2 linked regions of the Macaca fascicularis genome follow. Each later gene encodes a partner of the first gene's protein in a complex. Links are inferred from orthologs where the notes say so. Each region holds a gene or a part of one and is shown on either strand. Other genes may lie near its edges.

Region 1 (5,130 bases):
AGAAACAAGGAAACAGGAAATGACTGGCCCTAAAACACCTATGAGAGCCGGGGCCAGCATCTGAGGGCAGGTCTCCTCCTCTAGTCACAATACACTACCCCTCCACAGTCACTCAGTATGTCCCCTTCCCCTGGCTGTTCCTGCCCTCCACTAGGAAAGAAGAAAGAATATTCTTGCTCCTTGGAAAGTGGGGAGGGCCTCCCTGGGCTGAGAGCGCGCCCAGGCCTTTGGTACTTTACTATGGGAATTTCAGGGCCCTAATGTACAGTTTTCATCCCTGTTAGGGTAAATGCATTTTCCCCCTAAATGAAACAAAATTTAATATTTTCATCAGGGCAGTCCTGGAGGTGGCTGAAGGGTCACCTTCCTCTCTGGAGCTTTCCTTCCCTGGGGAACCTGTTGGGTCAGTCAGAGAATCCCAGAGTTTGAAGACTAGGAGCATGTTCAAGACGCCAGTCTTGAACATGGGCAGGGCAGGAATCCTGACATTCCAGAGAGGTCAGGGCCACCAGGAGTGGGTATGTCTTGTGCCACCACCTGGTGTCCCCATCCAAGGATGTGCTGTGCTCTCAGAGGGGGAAAGTGGGGACACATGCAGTGGACTTTCACTTCTCTGGGGCCTGCCTTTACCAGCTAGTTTGGCTTCACATGGCTGTGTCTCTAACCTGGTACCACAGTCCCTAGGGAAGGGACAATCCTCCTCCCCTGGGCCCCTACTGTGCATCCTCAGGACCAGGGTCCAGGGTCCTGAAATCACACACAGGGAACAACATCCATACCAGGCCATTAACTCAAAGGACCGGGTGTGAAGGACTGCTCTTTCCATGCCCAAGCACGTGTAATAGAAAGTGACAAGATGCTCCAGTTTGGCCAGAGTTGTCCTCATTTCTGATGGCTTGAATCTGGTGGACAGGTGTTCTGGGAACGATACCCTTGGCTATATATAGCTATGATTTATTGAGAGCTCTAGGCCTTCAATGGCATGTACATAGCAGGAGGCAGGACAGCAGCTGGCTAAGTACTCAGGAGTTGAGCTGCTGCCTCAAGTCAAATCTCCACAGTGCCCCCCACTATCTGTGCAACCTTGGGCAGGTCCCCGCTTGCCTCAGTTTCTTCATCTATAATGTGAGGACAGTACTTAATAGTACCTATTTCATAGGATTACCCAGAAGATTAAGGTGTTAATGTGTGTGAGACATTTCATATAGTGCTGGGCCCAGAGCCAGCACTCAAGATGTGTGTTAGATATAGTGAAGATGCTAGATGGCTTACTTACATAATTTCATTAAATTCTGAAATTAATTATTGAGGATTATTATTTAACACTATTGTCCCTGTTTCACAAATGAAGAAACTGAAACTTAGAAAGCTTAAGTAACTTACTAAATGTCACTAGCTAGTAAGTGGAGAAGCTGAGGTTTTAGTTTGTGTCTGTCTAATGCTCTTACTTCCATGAGATGCTGGGGTTGCTTATAAATTGCTCCCAACTCAGTCATTCACAGCACTTTTCCAGTGAGTCTCCCACTTTCTCCAGCTCATGAGCTCTCTTGTTCACCAACACGGAGCCCAGGGTTATCCCCTTGGTGCTGACCTAAATAGTCCAGGCTCCCTCTTCCAGTTCACTGCTGGGCACAGAAGCCTTCTGCAAGCTGGACCACTGCCTGCATCCTTTGGAGGGCCAGAGGAGCCCAACGGAGTGCTGCAGAGTAGTGCTCTCCTGCCCCTGGCACATTCCCTCCACAGGAAGTCTCCGGTCTTCTCTATCCTTCCTCAGGTCCCCAGCTAAATCTAACCATTCTGGGCAGGAGCTCCTTCCACCTGCCCTAATGGGAACACGAGGAAGATGCTGTAGGGGAGCATTCTCACCTTCTTGTGCATCACAGTCCTGGTCCTCAACTGTCCTTACCTCCCTTCCTCTTAGCCGAGAAGTGGAGACACCCAGTTCTCTTTGGGCAGACAGCACCTCTGTGCCTGGGACACTTCCCCAGGAGCTGGCTCTGCACCCACTGCTCTGACTGCCTTCTTAGCCACTCCCATCCCAGATCCCCTCAGGAGAGCCCTCGTCTGTCCTCAGGACTCTCGGCTTTTGTCTACACCCACCTCCATTTCTTTCATGCCCACCATGTCTTACTTTGGGGTAAGTCACTCCCAAGTTGGGAATTCCATTTATGGAAGGGCAAAAAACTTTCTCCAACCGGGCCTCGGCCCGCGTACTTGGACTTGGGCTGGGTGAAACCGCCAGTTCACTTACCACAGCCCCCGGGCTGGCCTCCTCCCAACTCCTGACCACTCAGGTCTGTTGTCTCAAAAGGGACTCCAGCGGTTCTGCTCCCACCCCTCCTTACCTTCAGCTCAGACACCCTAGCAAGGAAGCTCAGCTGCAAAGGCCACGGGGTCCCTCCCCCATCCTACCTGGGGTGTAGAGGCGCTGGTTTCTCCTTGGTAACCCAGGAAAACCGGCAGTGCAGTGGGAGGGAGGGAGATGCGGAAGCAAGCTTCTGGACACGCGGGAGGGATTACAGCCCTCGGGTGCTGGGAACAGGGACGGCCTTTCGCAGAAGGCTGGGGCCCCAGGGCTTGGGACCGCTCTCCTCCACGCCCTACGGATGCCCCATTTTCCCCCTCTTCTTCCCATAGTTCCTCCGCTCGCCTCACTCGGATACCCAGCCCTGGGCCAGACGGTCTGCAGACAGTGACTGTGGTGGGGAGGAGGCGCGGGGCGTCCTCGCATGGAGGGCGTGGGGTCTCCTGTGGGTACGGACCGGCGCTTCCCCGCCACAGAAAACGGAACCCAGGCAATGGCCGCCTGTGGGCTTCTGGCCGGTGTGGGCAGAGGACGCTAGAGGGGCTCCCGGGCCCAGCTGACCTGAGCGGGCCCCGATAAGGGAGACCGGGGCTGTGTGTCCCCACTCCCCCGAGGTCGCCTCACCCGCTTCGGGAGCCTCGGCGCTCGCCTCACACAGAGTCCCGCGCGCCGGCGCCGGTCATTGTCGTTGGGGACGCCCCGTGTTGCTAGGAGCGGGCCGGGCCGGGAGGACCAGTGCGCCGCGGTTCAGAGGAGGGGGCGCTGCTGCTTCCTTGGCTGCAGCTGCGCGCCGGCAAGCGGCTCACTCGCGCGCAGGGTGGCGAGGCCAGCCCTTCGGACGGTTCCGTGGAAGCGGCCGCTTTGGGGGTAGTGGGACCGTGGTCTTGAGCTATGCCCTGTGCTTCCGTGGGACGTGTCTAGGAACGGGTGGGCTTTCTGCGGGAGGTGGAGGTCGGGCAGGCTGCTGGTCTGGAGTCCTTGTGCTCTATTGCTAGCTTTTGTGTGGCCATGGATAGGGAGCTGGTCCAGGAAAAGCGTCTGTGGAAGATGAGGGTGGACGGACCTTCTCCAGGGCACCTGTGTAAGTCACTGAACTCCCCTGAGGTCTCCTGTTGACCTTAGGCCCTGCGGGAGGGCACCGTCCACCTTTTCCCCGGCTGAAAATCTGGCACCAGACGCAGGAAGGTTCCAGGCCAACAGAGTGCTCTTTCACACAGCCCATGTCCTGTGCCAAACACCCTTCCAGCCCTGGCGCCACAAGATGTGGTTGGGGCCCCTGATCTCCTGGAGGGTGAGAGGGACAGACTTCAGAGGGACGGCTAATAAAAAAAGAAAGTGGCCTTCAGGAAGGGAGAGGCAGCCAGGGTGGTGGAGGTTTCAAAGGGTAGCTTTGATTTCGGCTCTGCCGAGGACTACTAGTTGGTTACCCTGGATGTACATCTCGAAGCTCTGTTAACTCATCAATAAATCGGGGTGCCACAACTCATCTTGGCGCCCGCGGAGGAACTTGGACCAGGGCCTGTGGTGAGCACTGCTGAACAGTGGCTACTGCTCCAGTGGCCAGGATGCTGAGGCAAAGCTTTGCAAGCAGCGAGGGGCCAGGCACCAGGGATTGGGTCTGTTCAAGCCCTCACCAGTGCCTCACCAGCAAATCTATGCCTTAATTAGAATGAGAAACTGTGCAGAAAATGATGTCAGGCAGGCCCACGCTGCTAGAATTTTTACTACACAGAACTTGGTACCCAGGGAGCCCTTGATTTGAACATGGGTCCCCTGGGGCCCTTTCCTTCATCTAGCAACAGAGATCTAGGAACAGAGGCAGAGGTCCAACATCTGGCTGTCTGAGGTGGACTCATTCTAGTAGGGAAGGAGGGCTTTCCTCCATCTCTTGGCTTCCACCTGCTTTGAGGTGTCAATTTTCAGCTTTAGCTCAGGCTTGAGGCAGGTGCTGTACAACTTGTTTTAAGAAGTGTAGTTTGTCTGACCCCGCTCTCCAACCTCATCACCTGCCCCTATAGCAGCTCACTGCTCAGTGGCACTGGCCACCTCACAGCATCTGCATTGGCTGTTCCCTCAGCCTGGAATGCTTTTCCCTCAGATTTCCACATGGCTCACACCTTCACCTCCCAGCTGCCTGCTCACATGCCACCTCTTGGTGAGGGAATACCACCATCCACACTCCTAATCCCCATTATCTATTTTTCCCCCCAGACCTCATCACCATCTGACACTTTCTCCCTTCTAAGACAGGGCCTCACTCTGTTGCCTGGAGTGCAGTGGTGCGATTATAGCTCACTGTGGCCTTGAATTCTTGGGCTAAAGTGATTTTCCCACCTCAGCCTCCCAAATAGCTGGGACCAAAGTGTGGGTAGTCTCAGCTACTTGGGAGGCTGAGGCAGGAAGATCTTTTTTTTTTTTTTTGTAGACAGGGTCTTGCTGTTTGTGCAGGCTGGTCTTGCACTTCTGGCCTCAAGCAATCCTCCAACCTCAGCCTCGTAAAATGCCAGGATTATAGGCATGAGCCACCAAGCCTGACCCTCTTCTTTTGCTTTACTGCCTGTTTCCTCCACAAGAAGCAGGCTCCATGAAGGAAGGAATCGTGTTTGGTGCCCGCCACGTTCTCAGTTGCTCATCGACAAACCAGCAGGGCCTAATTTAATTTAGAGGTCATTGCTAATGAAAGAAGTGATAGCAAAGGTCTCCACTGCTGAAATGATTTTCACAGGATGGTTCCGTGTTGTCCCAGTAGCCAAGGAGCCCTTTGTCAGTGCCCACTGTTGCCTGCCACGCAGAGCCTGTCTGAACACTCATGGCAATGAAGATGG
Region 2 (5,168 bases), on another chromosome or scaffold:
AGTGATCCCAGAGCCCAGGTGGCAGCTTTCTGGAGCAGAGACTTTGAAGTCTGCCCCTTCATGCTGGCCCTTGCTGCAACTCTTGGAGACAAGGGGCTTGGGGGATGGGGAAACCTACCTAGCTGCCCCCGAAGGCCCTTGACTTCTTCCTCCAGCTGCTTGCTGCGGGATTGCATATCCTCCTGCAGGGCATGGCACTGGCGACTCATCTCTGGGGTGGGGGCAGTAGGCCGCCAGGGACCCAGGTCGGAGATGGAGCGATGGAGAAAGGAAATGAAGTTGTGGGTGGGGAAGACTCTACTTGGTCTAGTGGAACAGGAGCACAAAGGCCTTCTTGGTTCTTCTTTTTCTTTTTCTTTTTTTTTTTTTTGAGACGGGGTCTCGCTCTGTCGCCCAGGCTGGAGTGCAGTGGTGCGATCTTGGCTCACTGCAAGCTCCGCCTCCCGGGTTCACCCCCTTCTCCTGCCTCAGTCTCCCGAGTAGCTGGGACTACAGGCACCTGCCACCACACCCGGCTAATTTTTTGCATTTTTAGTAGAGACGGAGTTTCACCATGTTAGCCAGGATGGTCTCGATCTCCTGACCTCGTGATCCGCCCGCCTCGGCCTCCCAAAGTGCTGGGATTACAGGTGTGAGCCACCACTCCCGGCCCATGGTCTTCTTGGTTCTTTTTGTGATTCTGAGAAGCTAGAGACCATGAAAACCTGAGGAAGGGAAAGGAAGCCCAACCCACCTCCCCCACCGTCCAGCTTTGGATGGGGATGCTAGTCCTTCTCCCCTCCCATAGGATGGTTGAGGTGATGGCTATGACTGCATGTGTATCCTACACAGCATCAAGCACATGGCACCAGGCATCCTGGCAGGCCCCTGCCTGGGATCCCAGGAACCTACCTGCCTTTGATTCCTGCAGGATCCTGCCTGATTTGTACTGTTCGGGGAAGACCAAGACCAGGCCTGGCAGTTGGAAGCCCTCCTTGTTTCCCTTCCTTGCATCATCTGACCCTGCTGGTTGTCTTCCTCCAGGCCCCTGTCTCCTGCCCACCTGCTCAACAGACCACACACCTGCATATATGGCCTTCCCTTCACTTCGGGCCCCTTCCAGCTCAGCCTCCACCCTTTGCAGCCTCTGCTTCAGCTGGTCTTCGGAAGCCTTGGCTCGACGGGCTTCATCCCTCCGTACAGCTGTGAGCAGTCCCAGAGCCACTGTCAGGACTGGCTGGGGCCCGCTAAATCAGCCCCCATGAACTTGATGAATTTTGCCCGTCTCTAGAAATCTGGTGGCGGGGCGTCCAGCCTCTTATTCTCTCTCTGGGTTTTGTTGTTTTTGTTTTTTATCCCTAGAGTCTCACAGGCTCCTCATTATTAAGAAGTAAAGACTCTCTCCATGTTCTGCCTATACAAAATAGCTTTCCGGATAGCCCGGCATGGTGGCTCATGCCTGTAATCCCAATATTTTGGGGGGCTTAGGTGGGAGAATTGCTTGAGGCCAGGAGTTTGAGACCTGCCTGGGCAACAGAGTGAGACCTTGTCTCTATAAGAAAAATAAATAGGGCCAGGCGCAGTGGCTCATGCCTGTAATCCCAGCACTTTGGGAGGCCAAGGTGGGAGGATCATGAGGTCAAGAGTTCGAGACCAGCTTGGCCAACATGGTGAAAACCTGTCTCTAATAAGAATACAAAAATTAGCCGGGTGTGGTGGCTGTGTGCCTGTAATCCCAGCTACTTGGGAGGCCGAGGCAGGGGAATCACTTGAGCCTGGGAGGCAGAGGTTGCAGTGAGCCAAGATCGCGCCACTGCACTCCAGCCTGGGCAACAGAGCACAGGACTCTGTCTTAAAAAAAAAGATAGTAAAATAAAATAAAATGAAATAATAAAATAAAATAAATTTTAAAAAAGAAAAATAAATAAATAAATAAATAAAGTAGCTAGGTAGGGTGGTGTGCACCAGCTACTCGTGAAGCTGAGGTGGGAAGATTGTTGGGGTCCAGGAGTTTGAGATTACAGTGAGCTATGATCACACCACTGCAGTCCAGCCTGGGCAATAGAGCAAGATTCTGTCTAAAAAAAAAAAAAGCTTCCTTTATCAACTCTCACTGCCCACCCCTCTCTCATTGTCTTTTTCCACTAGGGGATGGTTAGGGTTCAACTTAGCCCCCCACTGTATCTCCAACTCTCCAATCCCCCAGGATACAGAAATGCCCCATTTCACTTGCCCTGTTGCCCACCCCCATGCCAACTTCTACCCTCCTTACCCAAGTGGTCTCGGAGCAGCTCCTTCTCCAGCACCACCAGCCTGTGCCTGGACTCAGCCTCCACATCTGCACCTGCTGTGGCAAGTGGCAGAGCCTCAGCTCTTCGTGATCTCAGCATTCCTCACTCTCCTTGCGTCCTCGCCCCACACCCTGCACTTTTGCCACAGGAGACCTGAGGACCACTAAATGAGGGATCCATGGTGGCAGAGTCTACTGAAGTCAGCACTGTGTCCTTACCAACCAGCACATAACAGATATGCAAAATACACATGACAAATATATTAGGAAGGCACAAAGCTAGATGGTGCTTAAAGGACAGCGTGAGTGACCATTTCCCCACTTCCTCAGCTCCCTGCATCTGACTTCAAGGACACGAAAGAGGAAGGTCAAGAGAGTTCCATCCTGTCATGTAGAAGGCTGAATTCTCTCTGGAGGAGCTCTGCGTGGTCTTCATGCCAGAACATGGAGAAGCAGGGGGCACCTCCACCCACCATGACTCACCCCAGTTCTTTTTCTTCTGCGCCCCAGATTTCTTCCCTTTTTCTTTGTTTTTAAGTGGCATCTCCTTGCTGTCCTGGGAGAAGGAGGGGACCTTATGTTTAGGTCTGGACACAGGGATGCTTTCCTGACTGAATCAGGAGTCTCAGGGGAGTCTCCTGGTTCTACTCCAAATTTGCATCTCATACTCTTCAGAAAAGTCAGTTCACAGTCTCTTTGGAACCTCAGGCAGGGTTGGGGTCAACGGGGAGGGTGAAGTTTTTTCTCTCAACCAGGCTGACTGTACGGAAGTCACTCCTCACAACTCTCTTTTAGATAAATCCCTGTACCTGCTCCCCTCCCTCTTCCCATCATCCTCAACCCCCTCTTCCTACCTGTAGGATCCTCTCCTGCCAGTGTTGGGGCTCCCTGTGGAGTGACCCACCCGTGGGGAGTGGCAGAGAGAAGGCCCAACTAGCGAGGAGCCTGAGGCGGGGCCTGGGTCCTGGGAGCCAATCCTTGGTGGCAAATTTCTCTTGAGGGCAGGACTGAGGGCTGGAAGGTTGGGTTTCGGGAGGCTGTATGTTGTCCAGGCAACTGGGAAACATGGAGTTGGTAGGAAGGTGGAATGGGCTAAATCAGCTCACAAAGCTTAAAATATCAAGGTCTCAAAGGGTCAGTTCTTTCCTTATCCCAAAACCCTAAGTATAGTTTGAAAAGAAAGGGCTTTGGAGGCCGATTGGTTATGATTCATTGCCACGTAGACATGGCCTGCAATTTGGAGACTTCCAAATTCAGATGTACACATCTGAGATAATATGTTGTGCTGATACAGAGGAAAAGGACTGACAGTAGCCATGTTGGACAATTGACATCCCGAGGTCCCATCAGCAAAATGACATTAGTAGGTTTAAAACTGAAGATCTAAGCTGGGGGCGGTGGCTCATGCCTATAATCCCAACATTTTCAGAAGCTGAGGCAGGAGGATTACTTGAGGCCAGGAGTTCAAGACCAGCCTGGACAACACAGTGAGACCTCATTTCTACAAAAAATTAAAAAATTAGCCTGGCAGGGTGGTGCACACCTGTTAGTCTCAGCTACTCGGGAGGCTGAAGCAGGAGAACCACTTGAGCCTGGGAGGTTGAGGCAGCAGTGAGCTATGATTGCACCACTGCACTCCAGCCTGGATGACAGAGGGAGACCCTGTCTCAAACAAACAAACAAACAAACAAACAAAAACCCCAAACCACTGAAGATCCTCTTCAGTACACTGTGGAATGAGGGTAATAAGTACAGGAATAGGTAGTCGAGGGCGTTTCCCACTTCAGAGAAATGAGACACAAAGGAACAGCAGACCCATGGACTCTAGGGTACTGACCTAGAGGGATGCAAGTGTGCAGGAAAGTGCTCAGGTTAGAGACAAGACATTTGAGTTTGAGTCCCAACTGTGGATATGTAAACTGAGGCAAGCCATTTGACTTTGCTCAGCATCAGTTTCCTGATCTTTAAATGTTTGATTTTGTAGCTCTTGAAAAGCCTGTGTTTTAGCTAGGTGTTTACATGGCTATCTTCTCTCCTAGTTACTTAATCTATTGCTACATTTCCCCATTCCCTTGTGTGGTTGATTTTCAGACAGGTGTTGAGACATTGCTTTGTGAGGCTCCCTGCAGCATAGAGTTGGTTGGGGCTCCCTCTAGTGGACTTGTTTGACCTTCTCCTGAGTTTCCCACATTTTTGCTTTTAAATTATTTACTGGGCAATACTGGGGGTGACTCCCTTTGGGGATACTTCTTAGTGTCCTGCTGGAGCCAGGAGTGGCTGGAATAATTAATGTGGGGGAGAGAGTATGACAGGTGGCCCTCCCTTGTCAGGCAGCCTTCACTCTCCCTGCAGCTCTGTGCTATCCTGAGGCTTGCCATCTATCTGCCACTTGGATCTCTGGGCACCATACTGGTTAGAGTGAAAACAGCAGACACTTCAGGGCTTTTCTCCTTTTGGATTAGGGGACCTGCAGACCGTTTCTTTAGGTTTTTTGTTTGTTTGTTTTGTTTTTGTTTTTGTTTTGAGACAGCGTCTCGCTCTGTTGCCCAGGCTGGAGTGCAGTGGCACGATCTCGGCTCACTGCAAGCTCCACCTCCCGGGTTCATGCTGCGACTGCAGGCATCCACCACCACGCCCCGCTAATTTTTTTGTATTTTTAGTAGAGATGGGGTTTCACTGTGTTAGCCAGGATGGACTCGATCTCCTGACCTCGTGATCCACCCGCCTCGGCCTCCCAAAATTCTGGGATTACAGGCGTGAGCCACCGCGCCTGGCATTTTTTTTTTCTCAGTGTCTCTCTCTGTCACCCAGGCTGGAGTGCAGTGGCATGATCACGGCTCACTGCAGCCTCAGCCTCTCCAGGCTCTGGTGATCTTCCCACCTCAACCTCCTGAGTAGC

What was found. Proteins that work in one complex are often made in the same cells at the same time.
Region 2: DRC5 (region 1) and DRC12 share a complex: the UniProt entries of both Homo sapiens proteins name them as parts of the nexin-dynein regulatory complex. The link is inferred for Macaca fascicularis from reciprocal best matches to the Homo sapiens genes DRC5 and DRC12.

Annotation. Positions count from the first base shown.
Region 1 is NC_088378.1:127,220,141-127,225,270, reverse strand, and holds the start of DRC5 (dynein regulatory complex subunit 5), read right to left. Parts: upstream 3,045-5,130; 5' UTR 2,930-3,044; exon of another isoform or gene 2,413-2,929; intron 1,555-2,412; exon of another isoform or gene 1,449-1,554; intron 1-1,448. UniProt on the Homo sapiens protein: Component of the nexin-dynein regulatory complex (N-DRC) a key regulator of ciliary/flagellar motility which maintains the alignment and integrity of the distal axoneme and regulates microtubule sliding in motile axonemes.
Region 2 is NC_088388.1:118,066,072-118,071,239, forward strand, and holds the start of DRC12 (dynein regulatory complex protein 12), read right to left. Parts: upstream 3,167-5,168; 5' UTR 3,124-3,166; intron 2,826-3,123; 5' UTR 2,814-2,825; coding exon 2,753-2,813; intron 2,327-2,752; coding exon 2,252-2,326; intron 1,183-2,251; coding exon 1,063-1,182; intron 212-1,062; coding exon 119-211; intron 1-118. UniProt on the Homo sapiens protein: Component of the nexin-dynein regulatory complex (N-DRC), a key regulator of ciliary/flagellar motility which maintains the alignment and integrity of the distal axoneme and regulates microtubule sliding in motile axonemes.